3 linked regions of the Canis lupus familiaris genome follow. The protein of the gene in region 1 interacts with the protein of each later gene in a pairwise test. Links are inferred from orthologs where the notes say so. Each region holds a gene or a part of one and is shown in the gene's direction. Other genes may lie near its edges.

Region 1 (3,657 bases):
AGTCTGCTTTTTTAATACTTGCATTTTTTCACCTGAATAAGGAATTACTTATTGATTTATTCCATATCATTTAGTTTACTTCTAACCTTTCAAATATTAATTATTGAAAAGACAGTCCTTTGAGGCCTATGTGCCTTGATATCTGAAGGTATAAATATCTTGTTGCTCAAAGAAGAAAATGTTAATAAGTGGAGTATCTTATTTCTTAATCTGTAACTCCATTTATAGAAGTTCATTGGAGACAGTTATATGATATATTTGCACATTAGTCTAATGGGGAAGGTTCAGGGCTTGGCAGGAGAGATGTGGAGTGGGACCTAAGTGTTAACAATAGTATCAGGAAACATGATACCAAGTTTCCCTGGGATACAACTAATATATATTTCATGAATTTCCCCTAATACATATATGTGGCTGAATTGGAGCTTGGAGAAGCAGGTGGTCTGCAAATTATTAGAATCAACAAAATTATTCCAATGTGAAATAATAATCGATTTCTAGGATGCCTTAAAATGTGACCATCCAGGTGTGTCCAGAGCAGTGCCATGATGAAAAAGCTGTTAATAACCCCTCTAGTGTTATTATTATGGTCACATTGATAATTTGTGTGTTAAATGATCCTTAGACACTAGCTGAAGCAATAGAACATAGAGATTTCTTTAAGTTGATAATCGTCTAGAATTGGAACCTGCCCTGTTCTGTTACTTTGTTGTTGTCTAATGGGTTCTAAAAGGGTTGTCTCCCTTGGCCTCTCTTTGTATCCAGAGAGGGGAATCGACATTTGCTGTTACTGCATGCCCATAGAACCAGTGTCCTAACTAGCCTTTCCCTCCTTTAGCTTCGCAGGAGATAAAAAGGTGAAAATGCCAATGAAAGATGAATTTATTTCCTTTACATTTCTTTTGTACTGCATGAGCAGGAAATCAACATTCATTAAGTACAGTTCCCATGTATTTACATCTTTTCTCCCCCAATTGCTTCCCGTGGTGCCGCAGGAGCGCGTCCCAGACAGCCCTTCGCCTGCCCCCTCTCTGGAGGAGGGCCGGAGGCCTGGCAGCCACCCTTCATCACACCGCAGCAGCAGCGTGTCCAGCTCCCCGGCCCGGACCGAGAGCTCTTCTGACAGAATCCGTAGGTCTCATACTTTTACTTGTCACCGCTCTAAACTTTATTAGGTGCAGCTGGCTTTTCTAATCAAAATGCCCTCATTCCAAATAGATCTCAGATGTATCATGTTCTGAAGCTCTGTAGCAATAGCCATCTCTCAAAATTATGTTTCCCAGTTTGCAATATCATGAGGTATGGTGCTACATTAACAGGTTCTGATATAAACTCCCTCTCTTTGATGCCACACATAAAGGTCTGAGCAATGAAACAGAGAAAGTAACCTTCCCGATTAGTTTCTGAAGTAAACACCTCCAACTCACAGTTACCTAGTGACTGTGATACTCAACTTTATTCCTCAGTCCCACCCCCTGCCAGGTTTGGAAATGTATCAATTATCAGAATTCACCTTTGCATTGATAAACATAACCAGAAAGAGGAATAAAAGAAATGGAATTCAAAACAATTCATTTAAGAAAAAAGTCTTGGTCGTTCTGATGATCAATGGATTAAAAAATTTTAAATTGCTTGAATTTTAGGATTTGAATTAGGAAATCAATGATGCATATTATTGTCAGAAATTATTATTGTTAAATTCTAAAAAATAGGGGCTCTATTTTATTTCATGATCACATTTTCAAACATTTAACCGAGAAAATGAAGAGTAAAGTTAAAAATGCCATTTAATTAACTGATTACTTTGTATCTGTATTTTGTGTCAAGAATCTAGTATTGTTTTTCCAATACAATGAACATATTAACAGTGATTGTGCTGGTTGACAAAATCAATTTCTATTGTATCCTCTCCAGGATTTAGTTTATGTTAAGAAATCATATTTGTAGTATAAACTTCATCTAATTACACATAACCTGCTGAAGTTATTTGGTTGTTGAGATTATTTTTATAATAGGAAAATATTTGCTAGAAAGTGACTTTGTAATCATAAAGGAACATTTGTATAAACAGAAATCCTTTCTATGGATGCTATTGAGATAGATAAGAAATTCTAGGTTAAATTGTATGTAATACCATTATTTTTAGAATGGTTAATAGTTAAATAGTTTATAGTTCAACATAATTCTAAATATGAATACTTGATTTGGCCTGTCTAAAACATATTTCCCTAATTTTGTAAGAGATGATGATAACTGTGTATTAATAAAGCTGAATATAACTATTTCCAAACCAATGACATTTTTCCATGGCTGGCAAATCTTGGCTCCCACAACCTCAAACCATTTTTCATGTAAAATAATTTCTCCATGCTTATGTACAATGCTAACACTAGAATCAGAAATTTCATGATGCATATTGGTTTCATTTTTAAAGCTTTTATACGATGTCATCATTGAAAAGACACTGTCCTTCTAGAGAAAGAAAAATATTTTTTCACAAGACTTAAATGGAAATTATGGGCAGATAGGGAACAATTTGAAAGAATTTTGTCATACATTCATGTTTTAAATTAATCATTGTATTCTTTTTTTTTAATTCTTGATAGAACAAAGAAATTTTTGCATGCTTGGACTACCATAATTGTCCAAGTGGAAGTATGTACACATGCACACACATGAATGCATATACACACATATGCATATATGCAAATACATGTTCATGTGGATACATATTTTAACATATTTTTTTGAAAATTAGACCAACACAGACATTTCAAAAATAGTACAAAGAATTATTTCACATTCATCACTCAGATTCACGTAATCATCAGTGTCTCTGAAAGAGGTAACCTTGATAAAGGCATAATGTCACCCCAATGACTGTATCATGGACATGGACATCATGCTCCTTTACCTCAAATATGTCATTGTTGATTTTCTCAAAACAAGGAATTTCTCTTACATAACCACAGAACAATGATCAGAATCAGGAAATTAAGATTATTATAGTACTATTCTCTAAACTATAAATCTTTTTCATATTTCATCAACTTTCCTACCACTATATGTATTTTTTCTAATATTATTAATAGCAAATTTTTTTTTATTGGCCCAAAAGTCAATCCAGGATCCCATGTTGCAATTATTTGTCATAATCTTTTAGTCTCTTTTAATCTGGAACAGTTCTTAAATTTTTTTGTCTTTCAGTATGTTGACTTTTTTTTTTTTTTTTGAGAATATAGGTCACTAATTTTATAGGATTTCCTTCAGATTGGATGTTTTTGTTATTTCATGATTAGATTTAAATTATGAATCTTTGGCAGGAATCACAGAGGCATGATAGTATGTCCTTCTCAGGGCATCATTCCAGGAAACATACGCTATTCCTCCAATACTTGTCATAACTAGCTCTTGGTAAAGATGGTGACTACCAGATTTCTCGACTGTAAAGTTATTCTTTCTTTTTAAACCTTTGTAGATGATAAGTAATAATAATAAGTCTTGTGAGGAGATATATTAAGACTATATAAATATATTTTTCATCAAACTTCAATTCCACTCCTTTTAGAATCATCTGTTGAAGATACTTCCCTCACACAATTATTGCTATGGTGATTTCCAAATGATAATTCCTAATATAGTCTTATGATATTTTCC
Region 2 (3,657 bases), on another chromosome or scaffold:
TAATTGTAGTATATTTTCATTCCTACTTTTGCCTAAAATAATGGTAAGTCTTAGAATTGTTTTGACGGACTCTGGTAGTATTTTTAAAAATTTAACGTTTCTTTGCTGCATCCTTAGTTATCTAACCCTCTCCTGTAGTATCTGCCCCTGAAATGTTCTCTAGAACAGGGTGCTCTCAACTGGGAGCAGTACCCCTTCTCTGCACCCCTGGTTGGGGAAGCACATTTGGCTATGTTGAGGGGGAGGCATGCTGTTGGCATCTAGTGGGTTGAAGCCAGGGATTCTAGTACACATCCTGTAATGCACAGGACAGCCTCCCACCACAAAGAATTATTTGTTCCCGAGTGTCAAGAGTGTTGAGGTTGAGAAAACTTGCCCTAGAGGTTTCTGTACATTTAAAAAACTCATTGATTTTTAGGAAGATATCACATGTATTTTAGTCTTCTGTGAGCAAGGCACTTAGCTAGATTTGGTGGGCAAATCAAAATAATTTGTGATTTGTCTTTTTTTTTTTTAAGATTTATTCATTTATTTGAGAGAGCGCACGCACAAGCAGGAGAGGGAGAGAGAAACTCAAGCCAACTCTACATGGAGCATGGAGCCTGATGCGAGGCTTGATTCCACAACTCTGAGATCACTACCTGAGCTGAAGTCAAGGGAGTCTGATGCTTAACTGACTATGCCACCCAGGGACCCCAATGATTTGTCCTTTTTTTTTTTTTTTAAAGATTTTATTTATTTATTCATAGACACAGAGAGAGGCAGAGACACAGGCAGAGGGAGAAGCAGGCTCCACACAGGGAGCCCGATGTGGGACTTGATCCCAGGTCTCCAGGATCACACCCCAGGCTGCAGGCGGCGCCAAACCGCTGCACCACCGGGGCTGCCCTGATTTGTCCTTTTTAAAAAAAAAATTTAAGGGCGCCTGAGTGGCTCAGTCAGTTGAGCATATGCCTTCGGCTCAGGTCAATGATCCCGGGTCCTGGGATCCAACCTCATATTGGGCTCCCTGCTAGGTGGGGAGTGTGCTTCTTCCTCTGCCCTTTCCCTCTGCTCGTGCTTTCTCTGGCTCTCTCCCTCTCTCTCTCAAATAAAAAAATAAAATCTTAAAGTTTTTTTAAATCATGCTTTTTTTTTCTATAATTTTTTTTTAAGATTTTATTTATTTATTCATGAGACACACAAAGAGAGAGGCAGACACAGGCAGAGGGAGAAGCAGGCTCCATGCAGGGAGCCTGACGTGGGACTCGATTCCGGGTCTCCAGGATCAGGCCCTGGGCTGCAGGCAGCGCTAAACCACTGAGCCACCTGGGCTGCCCTAATTCATGCTTTTTTTTTTTTTTTTTTTCTAAATCAGTGATATTTAACTGATGAAGGCAGCAGTTAGAAGCACCACAACCGTCATTTTTGAAAAAGTTATTGCTATTGCAATGCTACTGGAATATTAGATATGTCTATCATATCTAGTTTAGCAGAAAAGTGGAAATATGGAAATAGTGATTAATTCTTTGCAGTTGTTTGTAAGGAACTTTACCTTTCTTTTTTTTTTTTTTTTTGGTGCCACTAGGCTTGTCCAAACTCTGTGCCTTTTCTGTTCTTAACTAATTTCAATGATTATCTTCAGCTCTTCAGAAAATTAAATGTCGTCAGAAGATCGAGAAGCTCAGGAGGATGAATTGCTGGCCCTGGCGAGTATTTATGATGGAGATGAATTTAGAAAAGCAGAGTCTGTCCAAGGTGGAGAAACCAGGATCTATTTGGATTTGCCACAAAATTTCAAGATATTTGTGAGCGGTTAGTTAATAATATTCTCTTAAACAGATTTTTATAAATGTTATTCTCAATTTCTTAGTGTACCTCAAACTTACTATCTTGTGTTTGTAGGCATTAGTGATAGATGGTAGTACTACAGACTTAAGGCATGTTTCTGTTTTAATTGAAAATTGGACTGAGAGTAAATAGTTCTCAATTTGATTCGCCTTTTGACCACCGAATTGGGATATTATCCTGCATATTTCATGCATTCTAATTTTCTAACTAGCAGTTTATCAGCTATGAGTCATTGGCTGTTAAATAGGGATAATAAAAGAGAAAATGACATAATGTATGTAAAAATGCTTGGAAAGTTTTAAAGTCCCGTGGTGGTTGTTAATATTGTTTGGTTTCCAGAATCATTTCAACTACCATAAACCTGTGACATATGCTGTTATTCTGTGACCTTTTGCTTCAGAAAAAAAAAAAAAAAACCAAACTACTTTTGATACAAACGTTCACAGAAGACTTTGATGCACACTTTCTCAAAATGTTTCTACTATAAAGGCATTGAGTAAAGAAAGTAAGTGTGATTTTTTAAATGAAACTTTGATTACGAGAATGTTGTGTGTTGTATCTTGCCCTCAAGCCTGAGATCATTGTGTTGGCACAAATTCTCCCAAGTATGATTCATGAGTAGTTGGCACATGCTGCTCTAAGTAGGTCATGGCTCTTTAATAGAAATAAACATCCTTTTCTCTAGATTGTGTCTGTAATCATCTACTGTAAAACAACAGAAGAAAACATTGTTTATTACTTATTAGCTAGTGTTAGGAATTGTACTCAAAAGTATACACGAGAATAAGTTATGTGTCTTCAGAAATATCATGGTGCTTAATAGATTTTTCAAGGACTTACGATTTTTTTTTTTAAAGGTGGTGGCTATGAAGTTAAAATAAGGAAATAGAAACTGCTTTGGGGGAGGGTTCTTCTCCCCTCAACTAAAGCATTAGTCCTTCTTGAGCACTGTTCAACAGTAATGGACACTCAAGTGTTGACCAGCTGATTCTTTCTAATCTTTGTTTTTGGTTCAGGCAATTCAAATGAGTGTCTCCAGAATGGTGGCTTTGAATACACCATTTGCTTTCTGCCTCCACTTGTGCTGAACTTTGAACTGCCACCAGATTATCCATCCTCCTCCCCACCTTCATTCACACTTAGTGGCAAATGGCTGTCACCAACTCAGGTTAGACCCGAAACTTAATTTCTCCTATCCGTTTTTAGAAACTTAAAAAACCATCTTTAATTGAAGACTATCTTGATGATCTTGAATTCATTGCATGAAGAACAAATGGCTTTGGTTTTGTAATTTTTTTTCCCTGTGCCTTCATGAATCCTAATGGTAATGAATTGAAAGTGTTTGGTGTTGTAGAAAGGAATGACATTAATTAGGATGACTAGTCATTATGAATTGCAGTAGGAATCATTTTTAATCAAGTATATATATATATATTTTCCTTATCTTGCTATTTTTCCACTTAATCTGCTTTGTAATAGAGATTATAAGGTCCTCCTAATTTTCCTTAGATGTTGGTATTACTTTTTTCCCTTAGTTTCTTACCATTCCTTAAATGAAGATTTAACTATAATTAGGAGGACTAAAATTGAGCTGATGTAGTTAGAATAAACACATTTCCTAAGTCAACATAATAAGCACTTTTATTTTTAGAGATCTGTGTATTAATAACAAATGTTGACTGGTCTCCCACAGATGTAAATGTACACAAATAGAAATGCATAGGATTCCTATATTTCCTATTTCACAAGCCCTGTATTATGAAGCCTTCATTTCCTCTGGCTTACATATCCTTTCATAGTAATAGCCTCAGCTCTTGATTGAGACAT
Region 3 (3,657 bases), on another chromosome or scaffold:
CATTATACTTAGCCAAACATAGTTTGTTTGCATATTTTGTACTACCCAAAGTGTAGTTCCATTTGCCAAGACCAGCATCACCTGGGAACTTATTAAAAATGTAGAATCTTAACTCCACGGAAACCTTCTGTATCAGATTCTGGATTTTAACAAAATATCCCTGGATGATTTGAAAGCACATTAACGTTTAAGAAGCTCTTCCACTGCAGGACACCTGGGTGGCTCAGCAGTTGAACATCTGCCTTTGGCTCAGGGCCTGATCCCGGAGTCCCGGGATCAAGTCCCACATCGGGTTCCCTGCATGGAGCCTGCTTCTCCCTCTGCCTGTGTCTCTGCCTCTGTGTGTGTGTGTGTGTGTGTGTGTGTGTGTGTGTGTGTGTGTCTTTCATAATAAATAAAATCTTTAAAAAAAAAAAGAAGAAGAAGAAGAAGCTCTACCACTGAAATATTGAGGGGGAAAAAAAAACCTGTGTCCTCATCACTAAACTAGTCTAAAGAGAATTTTTTTGTATCTTAACTCTCTTAATCTAGTTTTTAATTTAGAATATCTTTAGCCACCCCTCAAAACTATCACTTTGTTCTCTGAAATCTGTTATTCAAAATTCTAATGAAGAGATCAGCTCCTTCATTTTCTTAAACATCTTTGGATGTTTAGTATATGCCAGGCACTTAATTCTCATAAAAATTTAGTTTTTTAACTACAACAGTGTATCTAAGTTGACAGAACTAGTGAGTGGCTGACTGAAGTTGGGGACACAAGTGGTGTGGCTCCCAGATTGGTGCTCTTAACCACCACATGACATCTATTTGGTCATAGCCATGCTCAGGTCTCCTGTACCAGGGCAAAGCCCAGGCAAGGAAGCTATTTGATTAGAAAGAGCATTTAGATTACTAAAGCCCTGTATTGATGATTCAATACATGGAGGTACTTAACTGTTTGTTCCTAAATCAAGGATAAAAATAATTCCCGATGTTTAAGTGAAATATTTCATATGCTTGTACACATTTGTCTATTTCACAACAATGTAAGGAACGAAGATCCTATCTTACAAGAATAACTATGAGTTGAAAAATATTATTCTTTCTGTGCAATTATCTAGCAATAGCCATGATAATTCACAGATGACTGAGCTTTAGAGCCAGACAAAACAATGGAGGAAAGAGGAACAGTTTTATATAAATGTGAACTAAAATCTCACAGTTGCATATTCAAACCTGGAGCAATCAGGAAAATGATATTTGGTTTGTTTATTTTCCTCTGTCCTCCCTCCTATTGTCATTTTTTATGTAGGATACCCTGAAAATTGTTGATAAATATTTCAATTTGATCTAACAGCGTTGTGTTTCTTATAGTAGGGTAAAGATTAGGAACATGTAAATAAGGGTTTTTTTTTCCTATGCAAACTAGACTGCAGATTCAGGACTTTAAAAAGTATCTATGCCTACGCTTTTAATGTTATACTTGCAGTGTCTCCTCTAACTCTAGATGAAAATCCTGTTATATAGGTTAGCAGACAGGTAAGATTCTAGCCTTATCTGTAGGAGAACAGAAATCACTCTATGTCCGCAGTTCAAGAAGACTTAAAAGGTTATGACTGCTACAACTGGAAGAGGACCATACATATCCAATAAATATGTTATCAAGTTAAAAGTCATTTTACACTGGGGAGGAGAGCTAGTGAATGAGAGTGAAGAATATTGTAAAATCAAACTTGAGATGCTTATTGAGGCCAAATTGATGTCTACAATTATAAGTAATTGATGTAATTTTGCTTTTCAGTGTGTATGTACAGAGAGCCATCACTACATGAAATTGGAGAAAAACAAGGGCGTTCAAGGAAAAGTTCTGGAACACCAACCATGAATGGAGGCAAAGTCGTGAATCAAGATTCAACATAGCTGAGAACTCTTCCCTTCATCCCTCTTTCATCCCTTCCCTTTTTTCCCTCCCCTTTACCTATTTCCTTCCAATTAAATCCACCCAAGGAGAGGAAAATAAAATGGCAATCCAGGACCTAGTGACTAAGATTCTGCACTCAAAAATCTTCCTTTGTGTAGGACAAAGAAATTGAACCAAAGCTTGCCTGTTGCAATGTGGTAGAAAATGCACATGCACAAATATTAGCACACATAAAATCAAGGGAAAAAATAAATCAAGACATCACAACATTGTACTGTTATTAATAGAGGCTAATTATAATGAAGACAATAACTATAATAAATTTGAAATAAAGTTACTATCTTAAAGACAAGGGTTTTGGAGAATTGAACTTACAAATCAATGTAATACCCTGAATAATTTAAACTTTGGGTAATGCTGTGATGTGTGCTTTGTGTTGAATTTGAATTTTCTTTGGGCATCTGGAATTGACACATAATTACATCCTGTCTCCAGGATTTTTTTTTTAATCATGATATTGAACATGTACAAATCATAGATTCTTCTAATGCCTGTATGATATAAGCCAGGAATCATTTAAAAGTTTAAAAATTTTTTTCTTGAAGTTGTTACTTATAATTATTTTATGCAAAAGACAGAGTTCTGTTGAATTTAATGATATTAGCTGATTTCATTCCTTCATAAAAAGAGTTTCAGATTAACCTAGAAGATTATAATATTTTTATCAAAGGAATTAATCCAGGATCTCATTTTTATTCATCCTTTAGGAAAAAAAAATGTGTTCTAAGGCTGAGGTAACTTTTGGGAATTCTGTATCATTGTCATGCCTGGGCGGTGATGAATAAGTCATATGGTCTTATCATGTGGTCTGTTTTTTTACATTGTGCACACTTTTGAAAGTACAGGTGCATGTCCAGCTGTGTTAGAGAGTTTTGTACCATCTCTTGCAGCAGGAAAGAAAAAAAAGGGGTTTCACGTAAGGAAATAAGTCCTAGGAAATTGTTAAAGCAAATTGTATTTGCCATTGTACCTTACCAGAGTTTTATGTATGTAGCATTTTCCAAACTTCACCAAGAAATTGGGAGGCATGGCTATGAAATTCCTAACTTACCATGTCATGAAGCCAGTGGCTTGCTTGTTGTTATATAACTTTGTTAATAAGTTTAGTTGACAGTAAGTCTGACTCCTAGAACATAGAAGGGAACTTAATATACTGAATTTTCAAGGGGCATAGAGAAACAATACAGAATTAACAGCTATGGTTCCAACATACCGTTGTGTGAAAAAAAAAAAAAAAAAAAGAACCCTCAGCGTAAGGACTAGGCAAATGCATAGTTAGTAATAATAAAGGATTAGAAAAATATCAGGGAAGAAATGAATGTTATACAATTGCCTTGGAAAAAATAGACGTACTTAGTCCTACAAATCAGGAGTGGTATAGAGACACCCAAATTAAAATAAAACAGAATTTTAAAAAGTGTATGCAGAATTATGGATATTACCAATGAGAAGACTTAGCATGTTACTTCTCCTATAGCTCTACTGTCCAGCATGTATTGTTCCAAATACAACTCCCTAAAATATATACACTCTGCAGAAGCTCTAGGCCTTCACTTAAATGACCTTGCCATTGGTTGCTGTATTCTTTCAAAGTCAATGTAGTTCCCCTCACTCTACACAATCATTATTCTTTAATAGTGGTTTGTGTCCTTCACCAAGCATTCTATTTAGGTTATCAGGAGGGTAGCAGCAAATGA

The links.
Region 2: the proteins of DACH1 (region 1) and RNF14 interact in binary tests that used the Homo sapiens proteins (3 or more experiments, as listed by UniProt). The two-hybrid records come from large-scale screens. The link is inferred for Canis lupus familiaris from reciprocal best matches to the Homo sapiens genes DACH1 and RNF14.
Region 3: the proteins of DACH1 (region 1) and FGF12 interact in binary tests that used the Homo sapiens proteins (3 or more experiments, as listed by UniProt). The two-hybrid records come from large-scale screens. The link is inferred for Canis lupus familiaris from reciprocal best matches to the Homo sapiens genes DACH1 and FGF12.

What each region holds. Positions count from the first base shown.
Region 1 is NC_049243.1:25,917,855-25,921,511, reverse strand, and holds part of DACH1 (dachshund homolog 1), read left to right. Parts: intron 1-995; coding exon 996-1,131; intron 1,132-3,657. UniProt on the Homo sapiens protein: Transcription factor that is involved in regulation of organogenesis. Seems to be a regulator of SIX1, SIX6 and probably SIX5.
Region 2 is NC_049223.1:36,063,185-36,066,841, forward strand, and holds part of RNF14 (E3 ubiquitin-protein ligase RNF14), read left to right. Parts: intron 1-1,611; exon of another isoform or gene 1,612-1,624; 5' UTR 1,625-1,640; coding exon 1,641-1,794; intron 1,795-2,169; exon of another isoform or gene 2,170-2,335; intron 2,336-2,846; coding exon 2,847-2,998; intron 2,999-3,657. UniProt on the Homo sapiens protein: E3 ubiquitin-protein ligase that plays a key role in the RNF14-RNF25 translation quality control pathway, a pathway that takes place when a ribosome has stalled during translation, and which promotes ubiquitination and degradation of translation factors on stalled ribosomes.
Region 3 is NC_049255.1:24,009,318-24,012,974, reverse strand, and holds part of FGF12 (fibroblast growth factor 12), read left to right. Parts: intron 1-1,780; coding exon 1,781-1,899; 3' UTR 1,900-3,657. UniProt on the Homo sapiens protein: Involved in nervous system development and function. Involved in the positive regulation of voltage-gated sodium channel activity. Promotes neuronal excitability by elevating the voltage dependence of neuronal sodium channel SCN8A fast inactivation.